2 linked regions of the Canis lupus familiaris genome follow. The protein of the gene in region 1 binds, or shares a complex with, the protein of each later gene. Links are inferred from orthologs where the notes say so. Each region holds a gene or a part of one and is shown on either strand. Other genes may lie near its edges.

Region 1 (11,086 bases):
ATAAGCCTACACTGTTCCTCCTCCCCTTCCCTCTTATCCTAAGCTAAGAAATCTTTCCACAGCATCTCCTAGAGCCACTTCATTCTGTTTTCTGCAAATGTCTAAGAACCTACTACGCTCCAGGCTTTTGCAAGCTGCTTTCAGAGACGTGACATAGTCTGTAAATCACTTGGCAACCCAGTGAAGTCAGTACCGACATCCCCATTCTCCAGTCGAAGACACTGAGGTCCAGAGAGGTCAAGCCAGCAGCCCAAGGTCACCCAGCAGATACTCAAGGCCAGCTCTGACTGTTCCCACTCACTCCAGAGGCTTTTTTCTGGGAGAGGAGCTTCCTTTTCAAGGGTAACCAAAGGTTCCCGAGGAATTGCTCTCAACTCCAGATCCCCCTCTAATTCCTGGACCCCTCCTTGGTCAATCCTCTATTTGAGGCCACATCCTCTCTCCCCATTAGCTGTGCACCTTCCCAAAGGTAAAATGAGTCCTTACTGCCATCTGCCCAGCACCGTCCCCAGCCTGTGAACAGCCCCCAGCTCATTTGAGCCCTTGGAGGTCAGTGGGGCAGAGAGCTGTGTCCTCATTCCACAGATATGGAAGTTGAGGGTCATGGAGGAGGGTAACTTGCTCCGGATGCTGGCCCCTCAGCTGGTGAACTGATTTCCAGGAGCCTGAATATAGGGTATGCGAAGCCCACTTCTCAGTGTGGAAAGCCCCAGAAAGAGCCCTCCTCCCTGTGGAGAACAGTCGAATGTTCTAGGCTCAGCCCTCCCGGCTCCAACTTGGATACGGGTCAGCTCAATGGCCAACAGCCTTTGCTCCTGCCATGTTGCAACCCAGACCTTATCCCACTGCTCTCCTCTGTCTTTTGTTCCTCTCCTCCCAGGCCAAGGCAGGGCCACATCGTGGCTCTCAGGGCCCAAAAAGTCCTGACAACAGCTCCCCAAACTCCGGAAGCCCTGGAGGTCACAGGACTGGATGTGGGGAGAAGCAGAACAGGCATTTTACATACACACATACACACACACACACACACATGCACACAGGTCTGGCTCCTCCCTGGGTCTCACAAGCGTGGCCCTGGGACCTCCATTCCTCAGCTCCTCCATTCCCTCAACCTGCTGCTCAGCATCCTGCTGGTCTTGAGGCCCTGGCTTGCCAACTTAGCCAGGCTGCCCTGCCTCTCCACCACACTCCCACCTACCATCTCCCTGCATTCTCTCCCCATCTTAGAGCCTCGGCTGGAGGCAGAAGTGTGATGTTGATGCTGGTTGGGGAGCCAGAGAAGTTTCCCTGCTCAGGGGCTCATTCAGACCTCTCTTCCCTTGGGGTTCTCCTGTAGGGAGAGAAGAGCAGTCTGTGCCTCTCTCCACTATGAATATGAAATACCTTCTTTGCTGGATCCCTGTCCACCCTCCTTGGGGGTCACCTGGCCCAAAGTAGGTGCTCAAACATGAGAAGTGGGATGTTATTTTCCGTGAGATCAGAGGGCTATTTGCAAACAGGTTGCAGCTGGGGAAGTGGAAAGGGGACCCCTACACACACACACACACACACACACACACACACACACACACGCGTTTGCCAGGAGTCACCTGCCTTGAAGCTCCTCAGAACAGGCTGACAACTGGGGGTGGGTGGAGGCAGGGAAAGGTCGAGGCTGGGGCAGGAGGTCAAGGCCTCTTCCACCCACCCCTCTCCACCTTTCTGGCCACAACCCAGACCTTCACGCTCCCGAAGGGACCGACGGACAGAGCGACAGCGCTTGCCAGCTCCCTGGGAGTCACTGGACCGCGCTGAACGCGGGCCCCGCAGCCGAGACCCGCAGGGATAAGGTGCTGGGCGGGCGGGGCCCACGGCCCCCCCCACCCGGGACGGGACAGACAGACACGCACGCGGCTGGACAGACAGACGGTCAGCGCCGGCGGTGGGCGTGCGCCCGGCTTACCGCGGGGCGGAGGGTCCGACGAAGGTCCAGAAGGCGGCGAGCGGGCTCTACATCCCACGGCGCGGGCGGGCGGGCGGCGTCCCGGGCGGGGAGAGGGGAGTCCCGGCGCCCCCTCCCCGCGCACTCGGCCGGCCGGCCCCGCCCCCCTCCCCGGCTGCCGGTGGGTCTGTCCGTCGGTGTCCGGGTCTCCGCGCCTCGGGGCCGTCCCGCGCCGCTCCCCGCGGGCCGCTCAACTTTCAGCGCTGCCCCGCGCCGCGCCCCCGGCGCCGCCTGGGCGTCAGCATCGTCGGGCCGGGCCCGGCTCAGGGCGCGGAGATCCGGGGGCCCATGGCCTCGGCCGCCCGCGCTCGCGCCCCCCGCCCCCGCCGCAGCCGCCGGCCCTCCGCCGCCCCCCCGCTGCCGTCGCGCTGTCTCTCCGCGCCGCTCCCCGCCCCGCGCTCCGCTCCCCGCCCCGCGCTCCGCTCCCCGCTCCCCGCTCCCCGCCCCGGCCCCGGGAAGCCCTCGGCCGGCCGGCCGGCCCGGGACCCGCCGCCGCCCGCCGGGCTGCCCCCGGGGTCTCCGTGCGTCTGTCCGTCCGCCCCTCGGTCCCCGAGCCCGCCTCCCGTGTCTCCCGGCGGGGGCTCGGTCTGCTGCCCGCCGCCCTCCCAGAGCCTCCCCTGCCTCCCTCCGCCTCTGCCCTGTCTCGGTCTCCCCTGCGCGTCTCTCTCTGTCCTCCTCCCGGGCGCCGTCTGTCCTTCTGCGTGTCTCTCCCTCCCTCCCACTCTCGGTGCGGCCCCCGCTGTCTCGGACCCAGGCCCGCGCCTCCGCCGCGTCCCCGGCTCGCCCGGGAGCCCGAGCTCCCGCCGCCCGCGGCGCGCCGAGAACTCCCAACTCGCGGCACGCCGCCCCGCTTTGCGAGACTTTCGCCCCTCCTCACACGTGACCCGCGCCCCAGTGCGGAGGCCGCGCGCCCCCCCCCCGGCCCCCGAGCCCCGGGCCCCGGGCGGCCCGCGGGGCCCGGCCCGGCTCCTTCCCCGCGGCGCAGCGGGGCTTCAAACCCCCTGGGCCCGCCGGGCGCGCGGGGCAGGGCTGGGGGCCGAGGGGCCGTGGGGCCCCGCTCCTGCCGCGGATCCTGCCCGGGTTTTCCTCCTCCCTCCGGGAGCGCTCCTCCCAGAACCCATTCCGAGAATCCGCTCCGGGTTTTGCAACCCCCGGGGGCAGGTCGGTAGGGTTCCTCCGGGCCGGGAAGGGGGTGCGTGGGAGAGGGTCTGTACTGGGTTCGGAGGCTCCGGGCCACTTTGCTCCGCGGTCCCCTTCCCCTCCTGCAGTACCGGCACTTAATGACCCCACGTACTGTGCTCCGGGAGCCGGGGGCTGGCGTGCATGGCTGCAGGGGACCCTCACAGTCACCTAGACAGCACCGCCTCATTTTACAGACTGAGAGACTGAGTGCCAGAGAGGGTCGTGAGCTTGTCCAAGGTCACCCGGAGGTGGCGGAGCTGGACCAAACCCCAGACTCTTACTCTCTGCAGCCGCATTACTCCAGACTGTCTTTACAGGGGAGGATCCCGGTCTGAGTGAGCTCCAGGTCTGGGCTGCGCGCTCTGGGCTGTGGGGAGCTGACTCCACCACCTCAGAGCCCCCCAAGGACAGCGAGCCGCCTCCCTGGCCACCCTGCCACCTCACCCCGACTCTCTGAGGAGGGAAAGTGCTCCTTCACTAGGATGGAGGATGAGAAAACACCTATAGCTAGACAGCCAGAAGAACTTCCCTGGTATCCTGCCCATCTGTGGCTAGTCTCAGGAGAGACTAAGGCACCCCAAAGCCGGATTGAGAATTTTTTGAGGATGAAACCTCCAGCTTTTTCTCCCAGTGGGTCCCCAAGCATGTGTCCAGCACATTAACCACCATGACTGTCTCCCTTCCCCGTGGATCCTCCCCACCTCCAGTTGGGATCCAGTCCCAACTCCTCAGCATGATGTACAGTCAGGCCCCACCTCATCCAGCACCCTATATACCCACACATACACCCTGATTCCCACAGATTCCAGAACATACCAGATGCTTCTGCACCTCTCTGCCTTTGCCGGTGCTGTTCTTCCTGCCTGAAGTGCCCTTCCTCCTCCTCTGCCCAGAGAATTCCTAGTGCTCTCTCAGCCCCTGGGGTGGCCTCCTGATGCCCCCAGCAGAAGTCATTCATTACCCACTCATTCATTCATCTGGCCCTCATACTCCAAGTTCTTATCCAACCTGTTTGCAAAATGGGGTCCTTAACAGTCCCTCCCCATCACAGGGACGGATTAGGAGAGATAGATGCACAAGAAATGCACAGCCCACAGTAGGCAGTCAATAACATGACCATCCTTTCTCCCTTCAACCGCGCGCGGGGAGCCCCATAGCAGATGACCCATTCCGTGCCCGTCTCCCTCATTAACTCTGCGGTGTCCTCACAGGCAGGCAGCCAGGACTGTGTTCCTTCACATGAATCTTTGATGCGCATGAACTTAGGCAATCTGAATCCTCGGTCAGTGGCAGGTAAGTGCCTGGTCACTGTCACAACTTTCCGTGGAAATTGGGAGGGTGCAGGAGAAGCAAATGACCCGTGGTCTCTTCACCTAGCCAGAGGTCTGCCTGCTGGCTGCCCTGGAAATGTGGGGTGCAGGGCAAGGAGGGAGGGGCAAAGGGGGCGGGGAATGGAGACTGAGGGGTCTGTAGACCTAGAGCCTCTGCTCCTGTGGGGTCAGTCCTGATGCTGGGTCACTGGGCACAAGTTCAAGGGAAAGGTAGGAGCTCAGGGACAGAGACTTCTGGAAGATGGAAGGGGGAAGCCTGGTGGCTGTGACATCATAAGCCTGAGAGGAAACATTTGGTAATGGTCCCCTCCTCCTGGGGCTGTAGCCTGGGATCCTCCTGCAAGGAGGGTCTGGTGGAGGCTGGGAGTGACTGGGAGGAGGTGGGAAGAGGCAGAAAAGGCAGCTCCAGCCAGAGAGAGGTTCAGGGACCCCAGGAAAAAGAGTCCCTTCACCTCCCCCCCCACCCCGCTCTGCCCCAAGCCTGATGTGACTCTGGACAGCTCACTTGTCTCCGTGCCTCAGTGTCCTCATCTGTATGACAGCCTATTGTGTCATAGGATAATAGCCCCACAGTTGAGATGATGGGAGCTTAGGGGCGGAATTCCCTATTGTCCAGCCCATATTTGAGAAGGGCAGGGGTGGGGAGGTGGAGGCAAGGAGGGATGTGAGACAGGTGTGCAGGGGCTCACAGGGGCAGCGGGTAGAGGCTTGGCTGTCAGAACCTGGGCGACCCTGGGCAAGTTGCTTATCCTCTCTGGACCTCAGGAGCCTCATCTGTAATGGGACAGTCTGGACTGGGTCCCCAAAAGGCAAGTAGGCTTTGTGGTCATCCAACACCAAAGCGCCCCCTGGGAAGAGTGAAGGGAGCAGACGCCCCTGGGGGTGATACCATTAGCCCAGCACTATTCTAGGCTTGCACAGGCATTGTCTCATTTAATCCTTACCAGAACTCTATGATGCAGGCGCTTGTTACCCATGGGGAAACTGAGGCATGGGCCATGTTGGTACATGGCCAGGGACAACTCTGTGGAAGGGCAAGACTTGCTCTGAAGTTTGATAGGTAGTGATGGTAAAACGTTCATCCAACTGAACATTTTGCCAAAGCTTCTTGGCCCATTTTCCATTTTCAGAGATGATCCTCCCAGTGTCTTCATGAGGGAGCCTCTAGGACTATCCCTCATTCACAGGTGAGGAAACCGACCTGAGACACAGAGAGAGGAAGTGCCTTGCCCATGGTCACTCAGGGAGTAAGCAAATGTCTCAGCCACATTTGGAATCCATTCCTAGTTTCTGGGGAGAGGTCGTTTGAGGCCAGCAGAGCACTCGTGAACTGGCTCACTCTAGGAGACCAGTCAGGCCTCCCTGGTCCCATAGAGGCCTTGAGAGCAGGCACAGAAGGCCTGGAGGACTGCAGGTGGGAGGGCCTGAGCCAAGCTGGGAGAGGAGTGGGGGAGGTGGGCCACCAGGGGCCACTTCCAGATGCCAGAGTCACAGAGTCCAGGGGTTTGGGACTTAGAGAGTTCCTGAAAGTCTGGCCAGCCCATTCTACAGATGGGGCAAACAGAGGGAGCCCAGCTGCTTAGATTAGGAATCAGACCAGGACACAGCTGGCCAGCCTCAGAACTCTGAAGTCCCAGCAGCCCTGAGGGGTGAGGATGGATGGTGGGGAAAGGGGTAATGGGAGCCCACAGGGCCAAGACCCATCCCAGCGGCTATGCCCTGGGAATGGAGGATTGCAGGGGTCTCTCCCGCCCTCCACTCCCCCCCTCGCCCACCCCCCAGCACTCAGTAGTCACCAGGGTGGAATATTTTAGCACCTATAGAAAAACCGCCACAGACGGCCGTGGCAGCTGTTGCTAAGGAGACGCTCCCAAAATAGCCCCCCTCCGCCAACCTTTCCCGCTGCTGCTCCTGCTGTGGGGAGGGGAGGAGGCCAGAAGGGGAGGGGGTGGCATGTGAGCCCTGGACCCAGGTTCACCCATCCGCCCTTGCTCCTGCTGCCCACATGCCCCAAGATGGGGCAAGCCAATGACCAGAGCAGCCACAGGTCTGCAGAGGGGGCAAGAGCTAGCCTGGGCACAGTCCTCAGCTGGAGGAAGGTCACCCAGATGAGGGGAGATGGGGGGGAAGAGAGCCCCCCCCACCCGAAACCCTCAGCACACTCCTACACATGCACGATTACAGACCTCACAGTTTTACACATCCACTTGTGCACACCACAAGTACAGACCCACAAATGCCCTCCTTGATATGCATATTCACCACCACAGACACAAATAGATGCACGGGTAAATACATATGCCTCAAATACACAACACACACCTGCAAGCACATACCACGCAGCCATAAATACACACATTTACACACACATACTCAAATATGAATCGCAAGCACACACAAATACCAATGTATGCATGCACGCCTGGCACATGTACCCCCACACACGCACCGCAATGTAAATACGGTCTCACAGCACACGAACACACAACTGTAACAACACATGCCCAGCATGTGGCATTCAAAGAGCATTAAGTGGTGTTACCATCGGGTTCTGTGCAGGAGCCACGTCCTGGGCTCTCCAGACATCCTCACTTAGTGGGGGCACTTCTGCGATCCAGCTACAGGGTAGCAGACTAGGAGGCGGTGTCCAGGAGGGTGGTGGAGGCTGCCGTCTCTGTGAATCCCTCCGGTAGGTGGTCTGGGGACCAAAGGATCCCTGGTGCCTGGGAGAGCTACGCTGGGTCCATTGCTTGGGAAAGGGGATGTTCCGGGAAGGAAATCTCACCCTAGAGACTGCAAACCCATGGGCATGGGGGGAGTTGGGAGCCCCATGTTCACTGGGCACCTGGTTGTCACCAAGCCTGCAGCTGAGGCCAGAATGATGATGAGGACAAGAAGACAATAGAGTGGCAGCAGTGATGGTCCTTAACAGGTGCACAACACTTTACAGTTTATAAGCCACTTTTACACCCGTTATTTCACACACTTGGTAACAGCTGCCCTGAGATATCGGTGGTGCTGTCCCATCTCTGCGGCAAAGGCAGGAGAACGGACTTGAAGACCGCACAGCGGCTTACTGGCAGAGCTGGTACCAGAGCCCAAGGAGGTGCCAGCACCCAGCTCTATGCACCCTTCACTCGGCTGGACCGCACAAGCTAGAAAGCAGGCCACCAGGGTGCAGGGCTTGCCTTTGCCCCTGATTCGCTCGCTCTGTGATATTGGGGAGCAGCCAAGCGGTCCACCTCCCCACCTGGAAAACCGAGAGTGAACCCCAGGGGTGTATTCATCCTGCAGTTGGCGGGCACCGGGCTAGGGGGTGGTGCCAGATGCCCCCCCCCCCCCCGAGAATGCCAGCGCAAGGACGAAGGGCACCCGTCGCTCCCCTCTGCCCTCGGCCAGCCACCGTCTCTCTCCAGCCACCTCTCCCCAACCGCCCCCCCCACCTCCCGCGCACCGTTGGTTCCGTGGCTCCGGTTCGGCGATCCGGGCTCCGGGTCTTCGCTGACGCCTCGTCACTCGGGAGACGCGGAGAGCGGCTTGCGGTTGCCGTGGGAACCCCGCGGCGGCCCCGGAGCGGCGCACGACTCGGAGCCCGGGGGCCGGGCCTGCCCCGCGAGCGCCGAGGGGTCTTTGGCGTCTCAGACAGACACCTGTCGCCAGCGGCGAAGGGAGGCGGCGTCGCAAGGTTTGTTATGCTTTTCTTTTTCTTTTAATTGAGGTGTGACTTACAAACTGTAATACATCTTAAGAGCACAGCTCGATGGATTTTTACATATGCAAAAAACCCGTGTAATCACCACTGGGATCAAGATACAGAACACTTCTAACGCCCCAGAAGGCTTCCTCGGGCCCCGAGGTTATTTTTAATTGTCTTTTTTGCACTTCTGGAATAAACCGGCGAGGGAGTGATCGGCTTCTGAGAACACAGAATGTGTTTTCTCCTGGCTCTGCTTTGCGGATCCTCTTTGGGCCTGGGTGTCCCATAAAGGGGAGCAGGGGACTGGCATTTGTTGAGTGGTTTACTCCTTGCAAAGCGCTTTAGGTACCTAGCTAACTTTGACTCCTATCAAGTCAGTATTTGGTTTATACCCAGGTTACCCATGGGAAAGATGAAAGTTTGCCCAAATTCCTACAGCCCATCAGTAAGTGGTGACACTTGAGACTTGAACAAACATCTGTCTAGCCTTGGCATTCATTCTTCCTCCCCTTTTCCTGCTTATTGGCCTCTTATTTTTTATTTTTTAATGATTTTATTTGTTTGACAGAGACAATGAAAGAGCACAAGCAGGGGGAGCAGTAGGCAGAGGGAGAGGGAGGAGCAGGCTCCCCACTGAGCAGGGAGCGCAATTTGGGGCTCGATCCCAGGACCCTGGGACCATGACCTGAGCCAAAGGTTCAGACACTTAACCGACTGAGCCACCCAGGCACCCCTATTGGTCTCTTTTTAAAGAGCTGCACAAATAAAATGTGCTGGGAGAGGGGGTCATATCATATTTCTGTGCCTTGACACATGTAGTTGCTTCTACTTGGGACTCCTAGCCTCTTCTCCCAGATTTTGTCTTTCAGGCAAGCTCCTACTCATCCTGCAAAACCCACTGGGGCATCACTGAAGCCTTCTTAACAGGAATCCTCCTCTTAACTCCCCGCCAACCCAGGGTAATTACTCTCCATCTGTGCCATATTTAACCCATGTACAGACATGCCCCCCACAGTGCCCCAAGGGCTCAGTGAGGCTGCCTCTATGTTCAACCTGTAAGGCACCAGCACACAGCTGGTCTTCAGCAAATGGGCTTGGAACCGAAAGTGGAGGAGTGGTTTTGGAATGTTGGTTTCCTGCTGTGCAAAAATTGGACTGCACTTGCTATGCTGCGTGTCACAAAAGATATTGGGGAGGGTGATGCTTCTGGAACACCTGAGGCAGAACCACAGGAAGAGAAAGCCTGCCCTCAGCCTAGGTTAGGGAATGGACTTGACCTTGCCTTCGGAGTGGACCTCAGGGTGCCCAGGGAAGAGTTCTTTCCTTCCACGGGCCAGAATGCCAAAGGATGTCATAGCGGCCCCTAGTGACCTGTGGGGAGTCCCAGGAGCTGGGGCCCATAGCTCCCCATTCTTTCCAGGGCCCTGCCCAGTGAAAGGCAGCCAATTCAGTGGTGGAGTATCTTCAGGATAGTGGTTTTTCACTTTACATCCACACATTCCTTCCACACAGCATTTGAGGCAATTGGCAGGATCTTCAATAGGGTGGTGAAGTGTAATAAAGAGCTAGGACCAGGAAGGAAAAGAGATTATTATACACATTTTTTTTCTATCATCGAGTTACTCCCCCATTCTCCCTCCTTTGACTTTGAATATACAATTTGCTTTGTGAGTGAGGGAAAAAGAACCCTTGCCCTTGGCTTCCCCCCAGCTGCAAGCCTACAGCAGACACATTTTGGGTGTCAGGAAAGTGAGGCTTACAAGACTGGGATGTGCCCAGAACCACGCATCATAGTGTCTGATGTTGCAGGTGGCCAAAGTGCTGGCTTTGCGGTCAGCGTGGAGCCTACCTGAGAGTCTCTCTCCATCTCTCTCTGCCCCTCCCCCTGCTTGTGTGCTCTCTCTCTCTTTAAAATAAATAATTAATTTTTTAAAAAATGTGGGTGATGAGCTCCCTGTCTTGGGACATAGGGAGTATCAGTTCCCTGGGGAGACTGGAAAGACTAGATGTGAGGAGAACCAAATCACCAGTCACAATGCTTTTCCCTACATTATCCCCATTAACAGATGGGAAAGGTGAGGCCAAAGGAGAGGACATGGCAGGCTCAAGGGCACTGTGGCAGGTCCAGGACAAGATCTCAGTCCTAAGGCCACCCAACCTGGGTTCTCTCCCTTCCACCTCCGTGGTTCTCAGACCTTCCCTGGCCGTGTTCAGTTCCCCTGGTTGGGGTGGGGTGGGGGAATGGCTGGAGAAAGAGAGGGAAGAGAATTCTAGCCTTGTTCCAGCCCCCGCTGGCAGTTGGGGCTGCTTCTCAGGAGGACAGATGTTTCACCAAATGGCAAATGCACGTGCTTTTCCCTGGCTTGGGGAGAAGGTGGGCGCTGAGAAGGAGATGCCAGCTGGTAGGGCCCAGAACCGTAGCCACACCTGAGGGGTTTAAATAGCCACCGCCTTCTCTAGGAGATGCTGGAAGAGAGGCATCTGGGCAGGACTGGAGTGGGAACAGAGCAGCCCATTCAGAACCTGTCACAGCCCTGAGATGAGTGCCTGGCTCCTCCTCCCAGAAAGACTTGGCCCATGCATCTCACCTCCCTGGACCTCAGAGCTGTCACCTGAAAAGTGAGGACTTAAAGCTGACTTTGGAGGGTGCCTGTTGAGGCTGAACGGAGAGAACTAACGAAGTGCCTGACCCATGCTTGGCACCCAGTCAATGCTCAATGCTTGATGGCTGTTGTCATCCCAACCTCCCTGCCAGGGCAGGAGTCCCTGCTGCAGCATCTTTGGCAAATGGGCCAATTCCCTGCTCTCCCACCTCTGGTGACAAAGGGTGTCATCAACGCCCCCCCCCCCCCAAGATGACCCACAGTGTGATGTATTAATTTATTTGCAAGGGAC
Region 2 (11,078 bases), on another chromosome or scaffold:
AGGGAGGCCCAAACTGTCAGGGGGCCTGGCCCCTCACCCCAGACTTTCCTACCCCACCTTACTCTATCCCACCCCACCCTGCAGAATGGTGCTGCTTCCCCCCCTAGTGGCTGCAGAGCCTCACTACTTCACATGTGGCCTGTGGACTGGCAATATGGGCATCACCTGGGAACTTGTTGGAAATGCAGTCGCTGCCCCATCCAAATCAGAACCTGTGTTTCAACAAGACTCCTAGGTGACTGTTGTGAACATTGTTGTTTGAGAGCACTGGTTAAGTAGATAAGCAAAGCCTGGCTCCAAGGAAGGAAGAGGCCAGCTTTGGTAGGTGCTGCCAATTTCTAGGTCAGACAGAGCAAGAAGATTCCACCCCACCGCCACCCCCAGGAAAGGGGCAAGCTCAATGTATTTGAATTAAAATATTTTGACTAGATAATTTATGTTAAAAGATTATAGACAGTGAAAAGCTTCCTTCCCACCCGTTCAGAGGCAACTTGTGTTACCAATTCCAAGAGGCTCTCCTGTTTTGCTGACAACCTACCGGGTTACTTGTGCCCTTACTAAGGAAATGAAAAGTTCTTTTCCTGATGTCTGCAACACCAGACCAAGTCTCCTGTCAGAAAGGGACACGGTGGAGTACACTTAGGTACTGGGCTGAGGGGGGGGGGGGGTCGCTCACTTCTCCCTCTCCCAGTATCTGAGGAGTCCCTATGTAAACCCAAGGGGAGAGATGTAGAGCTCATCACTCACCATTGTCTGATGGTTCAGTAGCAAAGGCTTGCAGTGCTGCCTCTGGCCCAAAAAGACCCAGTATTTGGTTTGCACAGACCCTGGCCTAATGCCACCTACCTGGTATGTTCCTAATGATTAATTCCATGCCTTGGGAGTGCCATGATGCTGGCCAATGGGATTTGTAAACTGAGTGCTATCAAGTGGACCAGCCATGAAAGAGCTAAGTGCCCTCTACCCCTGTTGTAGGGGTCACCGGGACTAACTAGTCACGGCTGCCTTTGTGCCCCAACGCCTCATCAGTTCTTCCTTTCTCAGTGCTGTAAAGGGGGAACAGGATTTCCTCCAGGTGTCTGAGTACCCCAGCTAAGGACAACAGTGTCCTGCAGAGTCCCTAAGTCACCCCACTTGGAATGGCATCTTGCATGTCTGAAAAAGGGCTCCACTTGATTGCAGCCCACCCTCCTCCACCCAGATGATGCAGCTCCCCTCAAGAGCATTCTCTCCAGGGACTCTTCAAAAGGCACACCTTTCTCCCAGCTATTTGTTTCCCCTTAAGCCGAAGTGCACAGACTCAAAAGGAGGAAAGACGGCAACCATTGTCTGGGACCTGCCTTATAAATGTATTAATATTTTTATTTGGCTATAAAACAATAAAAGGTTTTAACTTGAAAACTATTTTTTTTTAAAGATTTTACTTATTTACTTCATGAGAGACACAGAGAGGCAGAGACCGGCAGAGGGAGAAGCAGAGCCTACTTATGGTGGGACTCGATTTGGGGACTCTGGGATCATGCTGAGCTGAAGGCAGATGCTCAACAGCTGAGCCATCCAGGCATCCCTTGAAAACTAGATTTTCCCCCCCTTCCTATCTTTTCAGTCACTCTGTCTCAGAGGAAAATGTAAGGAGAAAGTGAGAACAAAAGAGGCGGACACAGAAACCATCAGTGAACAATAAATTATGTTCCCTATTGTATTACAAAGAAATTCAAATGGAAGTAAGGAAACTCTTTAAATGAGCAAATATTAAAGACTGGGAAGACACAATAGAACTGGTACATTTCCACTCAATGAGGGTAATCTGATAAAACTCTGGAAATCATTTGGAATCAAGTTATCTTCTGCTTTAGGAGTTTATTAAGTTCCCTCAAAATGATATCAAGACATTCTCTGCAATATTTTTTATAATAGTGAATATTTCAATCTTTAAGTAAATCAGCTCACTTATTCTGCACCCCCAACCCCCGATCCAGTAGGACTGCTCTTTATTCCACATCACAAACCTTCCCATTTCACTTAGGGAAAGCCCTCAGGACAGGGAGGTTGAGAAGGGCATAGTGTGCAAACCATACCTGTGAGCCTCTTCAGCAGTGGTCTGAAGAGGGTTCAGAGGTCACTGGGTGAGTGAAGGAGGCAAAGCTGTGGCCTCACCTGCTTCTTCCCTTTGAGTGCATGCTTGGGTCCCAGATCTATCTCTGTTATTGACCATGGGCCATGTACTGTCTGTAAAAGGGGATTTGGATTCAAGTTCTCAGATCTTCTGATCTGAAATGGATTCTTTTTAAGAAAAATCCAATTGTGATCCCATCACTCCTGGCTAAAACTTCCAAAGGCTTCTCCCAATCGCTCTTAGGATCAAGGCCAACATCCCCACTGTAGCCTTCCATGACTGATCCAAGTCCTGGTCCTGGCCTCTTCTCTAACTCTCCAGGTACAGGCCAAACCCCTTCCTGCTGCCCAGTGGTCCTCACACTTGTGTGTGTGTGTGTGTGTTTTTTTAAAATTTCATTTATTTATTCATGAGTGACAGAGCGAGAGAGGGGCAGAGACACAGGCAGAGGGAGAAGCAGGCTCCATGCAGGGAGCCTGATTTGGGACTCGATCCCAGGTCTCCAGGATCACACCCTGGGCTGCAGGCAGCGCTAAACCGCTGCGCCACCGTGGCTGCCCAACACTTGTGCTTTCTTGAATGTAGCTTCTTCTTCATACTTGTTATTCAACTCTGAGGTCTCAAATGTAATCTCAAAGGATTTTTAAAAAAAGATTTATTTATTTTGAGAGAGCAAGCAAGCACACACTGAGGAGGGGGGTAGCCTGCTGAGCTCTTAGGCCGAGGCAGGGCTCCATCCTGAGAGCCTGAGATTACCACCTGAGCTGAAATCAAAAGTCAGATGCTCAACTGACTGAGCCACTCAGGCGCCCCTCAAAGACTTTACTGATCCCTACTCCCCAACCTGGGCTCAGTTTAGGGCTCCTCTGTTCTCACTTCACAGCACTTATCAAAATTTAAATATTTGTGAAATTAGGGAATACCGGTCCTCCCAGTTAGACTATAAATTCCATGAGCAACACGTTCACTACTATAACTCTAATGCAATATGTTATCTTTCAAAGGTATGCACTTTATTCTAAGATACCCCCTTGACAAGAAGGGATCATGGGTTAGCACACAGACAAAAGCATTACATTCTAAACAAGCCCAAACTTTAGCTTAAATGTCGTCTATTTAATCTCCATTAGACATATTCTAGAAAAGAGCTTGAAGTTGTTTAAAAAGGAAATGACAGCTAGCTGTTGCTAGATGAAATGGAACTGAAATGGCACGACTCATGCCTGAAAGCAGTGGGTACAGAGAGGGACGTCTGGGGTCTGAAAAACGGTACACTCAGCCAGTGCAGCAAGAGCAATTAAAAGACCTGTATCTGGAACTTGGCTGCCTCTTTCTAGCTGTGCCTCTCTGTGGCAGAGGTCCGTGTAACCTGAGCCTCAGAATCATCAACGAGGGATACTAATTCTATCTACCCCACAAGGATATTGCTAGAATGAAATGAGACAACGGGTGTACAGGGTACAAGGCACCATGTTTTGGCATGTGGGAAACGCTGCTAACAGTAAGTCCCTCTTTACTTAGGCCCTAGTAGTCTCTCTGGATGGCCTATGTATAAATGCAAGGAAATTACAGAAGGCTGAGACCCAGACCCAGCTCTCTAGGAGCCAAACCCTGGCGATTCTGCACCCACGGCAGACATGGGCTATGAGTTAAGGTAGGAAAAGACTCCACGAAGTGTCTCACGCTTCATTTAATCTGAAGAATGGTACAGGCTCTTCGTCTTCAGATATAAATTATCAGGTTACAGAACAAGCAGCGAATTCAACAATTTAAAAACTAAGTCTACACGGTGTTAATCTCTGACGCAGTCCTCCCAGTCTGGTTCAGTAGACGTGCACCATGCCGTAGAGGAACGTCCAGAACAGGACGTAGGTGAAGAGGCCGCCGACCAGGCCGCCGGTGAAGAGAGGTCTGCGTGACTTAAAGTACTTGTTCCACCGCCTTCCCGCCTTGAGGATCAGGAGCAGGGAGAGCAGGACGGAGGCGAGCAGGTAGAAGATGAAGCCGTAAAGGCCGGTGAGGCCGAGGATGCCGGCCGTGGCCCCCGACAGCGCGGACACCGAGGTGCGGCAGTAATCGAGGACGGCGGCGTTGCCCCGCACAGCTGCCTCGCTGATGAACGGCGGCCCTTCCCGCTTGGCCACCACAGCGGCCATCGCACTCGCCGCGGCTCAGCCTCTACTTTCCCGCGGAGCTGCGGAGGAAACCCGGGGACAAATGGCCTCCGGCGCCTGGCGACTTGCGAGCACGCCGCCCGCCCCCCCCCCCCCCGCCCCCGACTCCCAAGGCCTCGCACCACTCCTGGATCTCGGGCCTTCCAAGGACGCAGAGGGGGCTGAGGGCTCGGTTCGGCCTGCCCCGGCTCGCCCAGTTACCTGCAACACGGCGGCGGACACAGACACAGACACGCGGCGTTCCTTCAGACGGCCAGCGGCACAGACCCGCCCGGCGCCATCTTGCGCTGGAGGGTGCCGGGAGGGCTCTCGCTGCGCACGCGCCGAACCCGCGCTCCCGCCCCCGCCGCGCACGCCGCGGGCGCCCCCGCCCCCTACGCACGCACGGGGACTTCCGGCCGCTGACTGGCTGGGCTTGTCAACGACTCCTGAGGGGCGGGCGGAGCCCGGGCGCCTTTGTTAAGCCGGCAGGGCGCGGCCGCTGGGACTCTGGCTGCGGGCGTCCCTGAGCTGCGCCTGGCCTCCGGTTGCGGGTCGAGATGTCCTACATCCCGGGCCAGCCGGTCACCGCCGTGGTGGTGAGTGCGCTCGCCCCTGTTGTGCAGATCGGCGGACTGACGCCCCACACGGGCCGACGAAGCGCTGAGCCCGGGCGGCTGCCAAGCGGCGGCCGGGCCCGGGCCCTGGCTCTGCCCCGCGGGACCGCGGTCTTCCCCGGCGGGCGCCAGGGACGGCGGGACCCCAGCGCCTGCCGGGCACCTGGACCCGAGGCCAGCCCCGCGCCCTGCCGCCGCTGCGTTGGGCTCCGTCCAGCCGGCGGAGAAGGTCCTCAGCCGCGGGGTGCGGGGAGAGCGCCCGTTCCCGGCTGAGCTCCCAGCGGGCAGCCGCGGGGCGGGGCGGGGACAGCCGGGAGGCGCTGCCCCGGGAACGAGGAAGTGCTTCCTCCGCTGCGGGAGACGCCGCCGCCGCCGCCGCCGCCGCCGCCCCGAGGGACAGTTGGGGGTGGAGGCGGCCGGGGCGGAGGGGCAGGCCCGACTGTCCGCCGGCCTGGCGCGCTCGGACCCGGCCCCGCTGCTCCACAGTGAGGGCACACGCCGCTGGCGGGCTCCTGCTGCAGACGTTCCCTGGCTTCTCACCCCTTGGGACAAAGTCCGGGTTCCCCGCCCGGCGCTGGGCCAGCCTCGGCCCCTGGCTCCCCTCCACCGGCTGGTCTTGGGTGCTAACTGCTAGGGCAGCCAACAAAGGGAAGGAGAGAGCCGGGGACGTCAGTGCCAAAGCTGGGTGGGGTCTGAAGGCAAACTCGGGAGGCGGAGATGGGGAAACTGAGTCCCAGGAGAAATCTGTTGATGCCCAGCCCTAAAGAAAGTCCCCAGGAAGAACCCAGATCTCCGAGAAGAAAGGCCTGTCTGGCAGGAATTGGGTCAGGTACAAGTCCCAGTCCTAGGGCCGAGGGACGGGCGGCCTTATCTCAGCTGGGTCTGCAGGGGAACTCCTGAGTCAGGCGCCGGCACTGATTAAGCTGGCATGTGAACTTGAGCTTAGAGAACCAGCTCTGGCCGGGGCTAGTAAGAAACATTTCTGGACCTGCAGATTGCTGCCCTACACTTCACCCTAACTGCACCAACCTCGCTTTTCTAGATTCCTAGCTGCCTCAGAGAGAAGCGGCCAGGTTTGCTTCTTAGGTGGAAGAAAAGGGGTGTGTAGGGGAGGCGCAAGAAAGAGGCAGTAAGCCGCCTCATCTCACCCAGTAAGTCAGGGACCCGCCCGTGTCTTCCAGCCCAAGGGCCTGTACTCTCTTCTAATCTCGGGGTGGGGCAAAGGTGTGTGTTGGAGGAGGTGGAGCAGGCCTGCAGGAGTTCACGCTTTTGGACTTGAGGACCTATGTCTAGTGGGCTTCAGGGGTCATACTTCCTGCTTCCCCTCTCTTCTGTCCTGGCTGGTCCTCCCCCGGACCTTCTTCAAAACTGTAAGACCACGCTGTCCCAATTCTTGTTAAGACTAGGAACGTGTCTGGCCTCTCCCGCTTGTGTTTTGTATAAGTGCTGCCGAAGCAAGCACATCCTGCTTGTGTTTTGGATTGAGAATGGGCTAGGGGAGGTTTCCTTCCTAGTCACTGCCTTATCCCACGTAGTTAATATTTTGAGAATGTTAAAACCATTTTGACTTCTTCTCTGAGCTGTGGCTCCATGGGTTCATCTGCCTTCTGTCTGGACACTTGCCTGGGTAGCTCATGGCACTCCAAAATGCTTCCCCTTCAGTGTCCCCAGCTGAGAGATGTTTGTGTTCAGCCAGGCCACTTGGCTGGGTGCTTCCTTTCACTGCTCTCTACCACGAGCAGTCCTCAAGTCTGTTGATCTATTTTCCAAGTAGTCATGTCCCCTGGCCTCCACATCCCACCTCTAGAAGACATCCATTCTCCTCCTCCTGACTGCCCAGGTGGTCATTCTAGTATCAAATCTGACCAGGACCAACCTTATTCCTGAACTCCTGAGAACTCTAGTGGGCCCAGAATCAAAGTCAGGTGTCTAAACTGTCACTCCTTTCAAGGTCTGGTGCAAATGATCCCTCTTCTGTGAAGCTCTTCAGGTCCAGATCAAGGCACTCTTTTCTTTCTTCCTTTTAAAACTCAACTTTTGGGGTGGGGTGATCTGGTCTAGCTAGCCCCTACACTCTGGTGATTGGAGGGTGCCTGCTGAGAACTTTGAAAGGGCCCTGGCAGTTTGGGGACTATGGTGGGAGAGCTTTAGAACCCTCCTCTGCCTCCTACACCACACAACAGGGTCTGGGGCTTACAGAGAAACCCCCTCCCTCAGGGCCAGCCTCTAGGGCCTGCACTCCACAGCCTTTCTGATCTGGCCCCAGTCTCACCTCACCTCTCAGTTCCAGTGCTGTACACTCCTCTTGTAGACCTGTATCCTTAGTACCTTCAAGCCTGTGCTTCTGTCCCTTAGCCAGGACAAGCCCTTCCTCTCCTTCATGTGCAAGTTTGAACTTCTCTGCTTTTCCGGAGCATCTCTATAGTCTTGCCCTCAACAAGGCTGGCTCAGCAATGAGTTGCCTCAGCAAGGCACTGGCGTTTCTTTTTCAAGCCTTGTCCCCTTCTGCTCTGTGTGGTCCCTCCCCTGGGTCACAGGCCCCCCATGTAGAGCAGTCACAGCATCTTGACTCTTGGATCAAGAGGGGCTTAGAGTACATGTTGACTAAGGCTGGTGCCTGAGATTAACAGGAAAGGGACAGAGGCTAGAACAGAATATTGCGTAGGTGGTTGTGGCTGAGTTCTGAGTCACAGTCTCCCAGGCCCCCAGTCTCCCAGGCTGGTGGCTGGTAACCGGGTGGAATCCTACAGAGGACTCTGGGCTCCACCCCCATTGGCATGGGTCTGAGCTGGCACAGCAGCCTGAGGCTGCTGCTGGACACAGAGCAGATTCATTGTCCACATACTTACCTGCCCCCAATTTGTTTTTTCCTTTGCTAGCAAAGAGTTGAAATTCACAAGCTGCGTCAAGGTGAGAACTTAATACTGGGCTTCAGCATTGGAGGTGGAATTGACCAGGATCCCTCCCAGAATCCCTTCTCAGAAGATAAAACAGACAAGGTGAGGGGGACCAGGGTCCTGGGACCTCTCCACTGGGGACAAAGGTCTGAGATGGTGGGTACTTCCAGGGCCTTCTTGGAAGGAGTAGACCTCTTGGTCTTTCAAAAATCCTAAGACCTTTTAAGAAATGATAAGTAGGGATGGGGGTGGGGAGCAGACCTCCCAGCCCTAGGAAGGCTCACTCAGAGCCCAGGAGGAACAGGAAGAGGCGAGCAGCAGGGACCAGAGCATGGTGGGGCATCGCTGCTTTCCCCTCGACTGTCTTGGCACAGCCTGTACTAGGGTCAGACTTGGTGCAGTCAGTTGGATGGCTGGGCTTTGCTCTCTGGATTAGGGGCTAGTCCAGTGACACTGGGGCTTGACTTGGGCTGTCTCTTTCCAGGGCATTTATGTCACACGAGTATCTGAAGGAGGCCCTGCTGAAATTGCTGGGCTGCAGATTGGAGACAAGATTATGCAGGTAACATGTGTCCCAAAGGAGGAGATCAAGGCTTGGGCCAGAGGGTCTGAAGCACTCGGGTTGGGGGCTGCCCTTGCCTCCTGGGGCACCTGGGAGACTCACTGAAACTGTTGGGAGCGCATGCTGGTGTTGCTGCCAGAGGGAGCTGGCTCTCTCCTCTGTATGCCTCAACTGTGGTGCTTGGCATCCCCAGCACAGAGACATCAGCGTGCCTGGGTGACCCAGGACCCTAAAGCCCATCCTGCTTCCAGATCCCAGAGGACAGAGAACTGAGGCAGGCTGTATTTTCTCCTTGGGCCAGGTGAATGGCTGGGACATGACCATGGTCACACACGACCAAGCCCGGAAGCGGCTCACCAAGCGCTCGGAGGAGGTGGTGCGCCTGCTAGTGACCCGACAGTCGCTGCAGAAGGCAGTGCAGCAGTCCATGCTGTCCTAGCAGCCCGCTGTGGTCCCTGCCTCGTGCCTGCCTGCCTACAGTGACACCACTTCCATGCTCTGTCTGCCCCTCATCCTGGCTTCTGCTGCATGCTGGGCCCCAGCTCCAAAGGGCCAGAGCTGGTCCCAGAGGCCTGTCCCTGGGGCCTGACCCAGCCTTCCTTCCCCACCTCCCACTGGCCTGAAGCTCTGGGACCAGCTCTCATCCTCAGACACTGAGAATTTAAAATAAGGGCCTGGAGTTGAATTGTAGTCAATCTGCAGCGACCATAGGCTTGGCCCCCAGACCCTGCTGCATGGCCTTAGCAGTGCCCAAATGGGCAGGAGGTCCCCCACAAAGCTGGAGAATGCCAGGTGGGGCCGGGCTTTCCTACAGAGGCCTGGCTGCAGGGCTCGGCCATGCCTCTGTGTCTCAACTCTGCAGCGACTTGTACCCTGTTTTTCCCTTCCTTCCCCAGGAGGGGCTTGACACACTGCCTGAATGGAAGCCAGACAGGCTTATGGTTCACCCCCTCACACCCCCACTTCCCTGAGGGACACTAGCCTCCCCAGGGTTCACCTGTGTACAAGATTTAGATGAAGCTCAAGGCTGACATTTCAGGGCAGTTCTCAGGATTGCCATTTCCTTCTATGCCTATGGGTTTAACTTTATATTTTTTAAATCACAACTTTGATACAAAAGCATTTTTACCTATTTGGAGATGCCAATCTTACTTTTGAATTTAGCTTACTAACTTGTATCTGGGAACAACATGTGTTACTTTGGTTCCTATGGAAATGGGGCAGTGTGAAATTACCCCATACCTGACATCTTGGGTCCAAATAAACAGTGTTGGAATTCACAAGGGGTTTTGCTGAGGCATGGGGCTAGGGATGTCTGGGGGTGGATGGTGGCTAGAGCTTTGGTTGTAGGGCTGACGAGCCTGGCCCCCAACCACTTCTGAGATGAGGCCCAGCTGCTGCCAGGCCTGCCTGTTGCTGTTTGGCCAGAGCCACATCTGTGGGAACGTCTGGGAGCACCTCCCTGGAAGTGGGGCAGGGAACTCTTGACTTCCCCTGTGTAACTTAGCTTGTGCTCCACCCGGGAGAGGACTCATGGACACTAAGGGGTTCATGGGACACCCCCACCCCCCGCCAAGACTCTTGAGAGCATAGTTTATCACAGGTAGGATTGATGAGATGGGGGTAAGCTGGAGAACACCAGTGCCTCTGCTTGGCCCAGGACTGGCTGCACGACCAGCTCTGGGAATGATTGCCATTTGAGGGCTTATCTGTAACTGCCAAATCGAGTTTTTCAAATTTTCCATCAGAAACCTGAAATCTCCTATTTTTACAGTGTGGTACCCAGTAACATACAGAGTAGCCCAAATAAAATACGTCTGTGGGGTTGGTCAGGCTGGAAACTGTTTTAGGGAAACAAGATCCTAAATTCTTGGATAGTTGGATAGAAGAATAATTTGAAAAATAAAATGCCCACCCCCCCCACCCCCCCGCCCATAAGAGCACCCTTAACCCATCCAACCCATGCTCCTTAACTCCAGCTTGAGCAACATACCCTTGGTAATGGTACCTGTGTGACCTACCTGGCCCTGAGCAGGCAGGCATCTTGCACTACCCAAGAGGGCTCCCCTGATGAATGCCGGTCGGCATGCAGCCACCTCGCCATCAGCATAGTTTGCAACTCCAGTGTTTCCTTACATGAAGTAAGTAGGGTTGTCTCCTTAAGCCCCAAGAATTGGTTCTGAAGCCAACACACCTACCTCCCACATCTGGCAAGTGCTCAGTGTGCAGAAAGGAAACAAATCATTTTAATTAAGGATATAGGCACCTCACATTAATCTTGTAGTAAAAGGTCTGAACGTGAACTGACAAGGCACATCCTGGCACCCTCCCCTCCTGCCACAGGAAGGACAGCCTGGGATAGAAGGGAAGGAGGTTTGGAATAAGGGTTGGGCCCATGAGGATTGTGTGAGTGGTCTCAAGTCCTTATGAGAGACTCCTGAACAGCCAAAAAGTTGCTCTCAGGTAGGATCTGGGGTAAGTGAAGGAAGGGGGCCAGCCCTCCTCCCCTACAGGGGAGCTTCTCTCACCATTTGTCAGGTCTTCCTGGCCTCTAAGGCAGACTGGTGTGTGTGTGTGTGTGCACGTGTGCACATGCGCATCCACACACCCTACACACCAGCACAAGATAAGGAGCAGTCAAAGGGGATTAAATAGGGTCCCTGACTCTGGGAAAGTAGAGGTAGGCAGAAGGTGGAGACACTAAGCCACCCACTTCCAGAACATCCCTCCAAA

Evidence for each region.
Region 2: the proteins of KCNJ4 (region 1) and TAX1BP3 are in contact, whole or in part, in a crystal structure (PDB 3GJ9), measured with the Homo sapiens proteins. The link is inferred for Canis lupus familiaris from reciprocal best matches to the Homo sapiens genes KCNJ4 and TAX1BP3. Residues at the interface, in NP_004972.1 of Homo sapiens: Arg440, Arg441, Glu442, Ser443, Ala444, Ile445; in NP_055419.1 of Homo sapiens: Leu27, Ile28, Leu29, Gly30, Phe31, Ser32, Ile33, Gly34, Gly35, Asp38, Gln39, Gln43, Asn44, Thr58, Arg59, His90, Asp91, Arg94, Leu97, Thr98.

Annotation. Positions count from the first base shown.
Region 1 is NC_049231.1:27,318,111-27,329,196, reverse strand, and holds the start of KCNJ4 (inward rectifier potassium channel 4), read right to left. Parts: upstream 7,251-11,086; 5' UTR 7,037-7,250; intron 5,682-7,036; exon of another isoform or gene 5,625-5,681; intron 4,457-5,624; exon of another isoform or gene 4,274-4,456; intron 2,092-4,273; exon of another isoform or gene 1,943-2,091; intron 1-1,942. Other genes in the region: uncharacterized protein LOC119876745, read right to left, coding at 7,949-8,200. UniProt on the Homo sapiens protein: Inward rectifier potassium channels are characterized by a greater tendency to allow potassium to flow into the cell rather than out of it.
Region 2 is NC_049230.1:47,458,786-47,469,863, reverse strand, and holds TAX1BP3 (tax1-binding protein 3), read left to right. Parts: upstream 1-4,684; 5' UTR 4,685-4,829; coding exon 4,830-4,868; intron 4,869-7,765; coding exon 7,766-7,885; intron 7,886-8,267; coding exon 8,268-8,345; intron 8,346-8,646; coding exon 8,647-8,784; 3' UTR 8,785-9,628; downstream 9,629-11,078. Other genes in the region: EMC6 (ER membrane protein complex subunit 6), read right to left, coding at 3,940-4,272. UniProt on the Homo sapiens protein: May regulate a number of protein-protein interactions by competing for PDZ domain binding sites. Binds CTNNB1 and may thereby act as an inhibitor of the Wnt signaling pathway. Competes with LIN7A for KCNJ4 binding, and thereby promotes KCNJ4 internalization.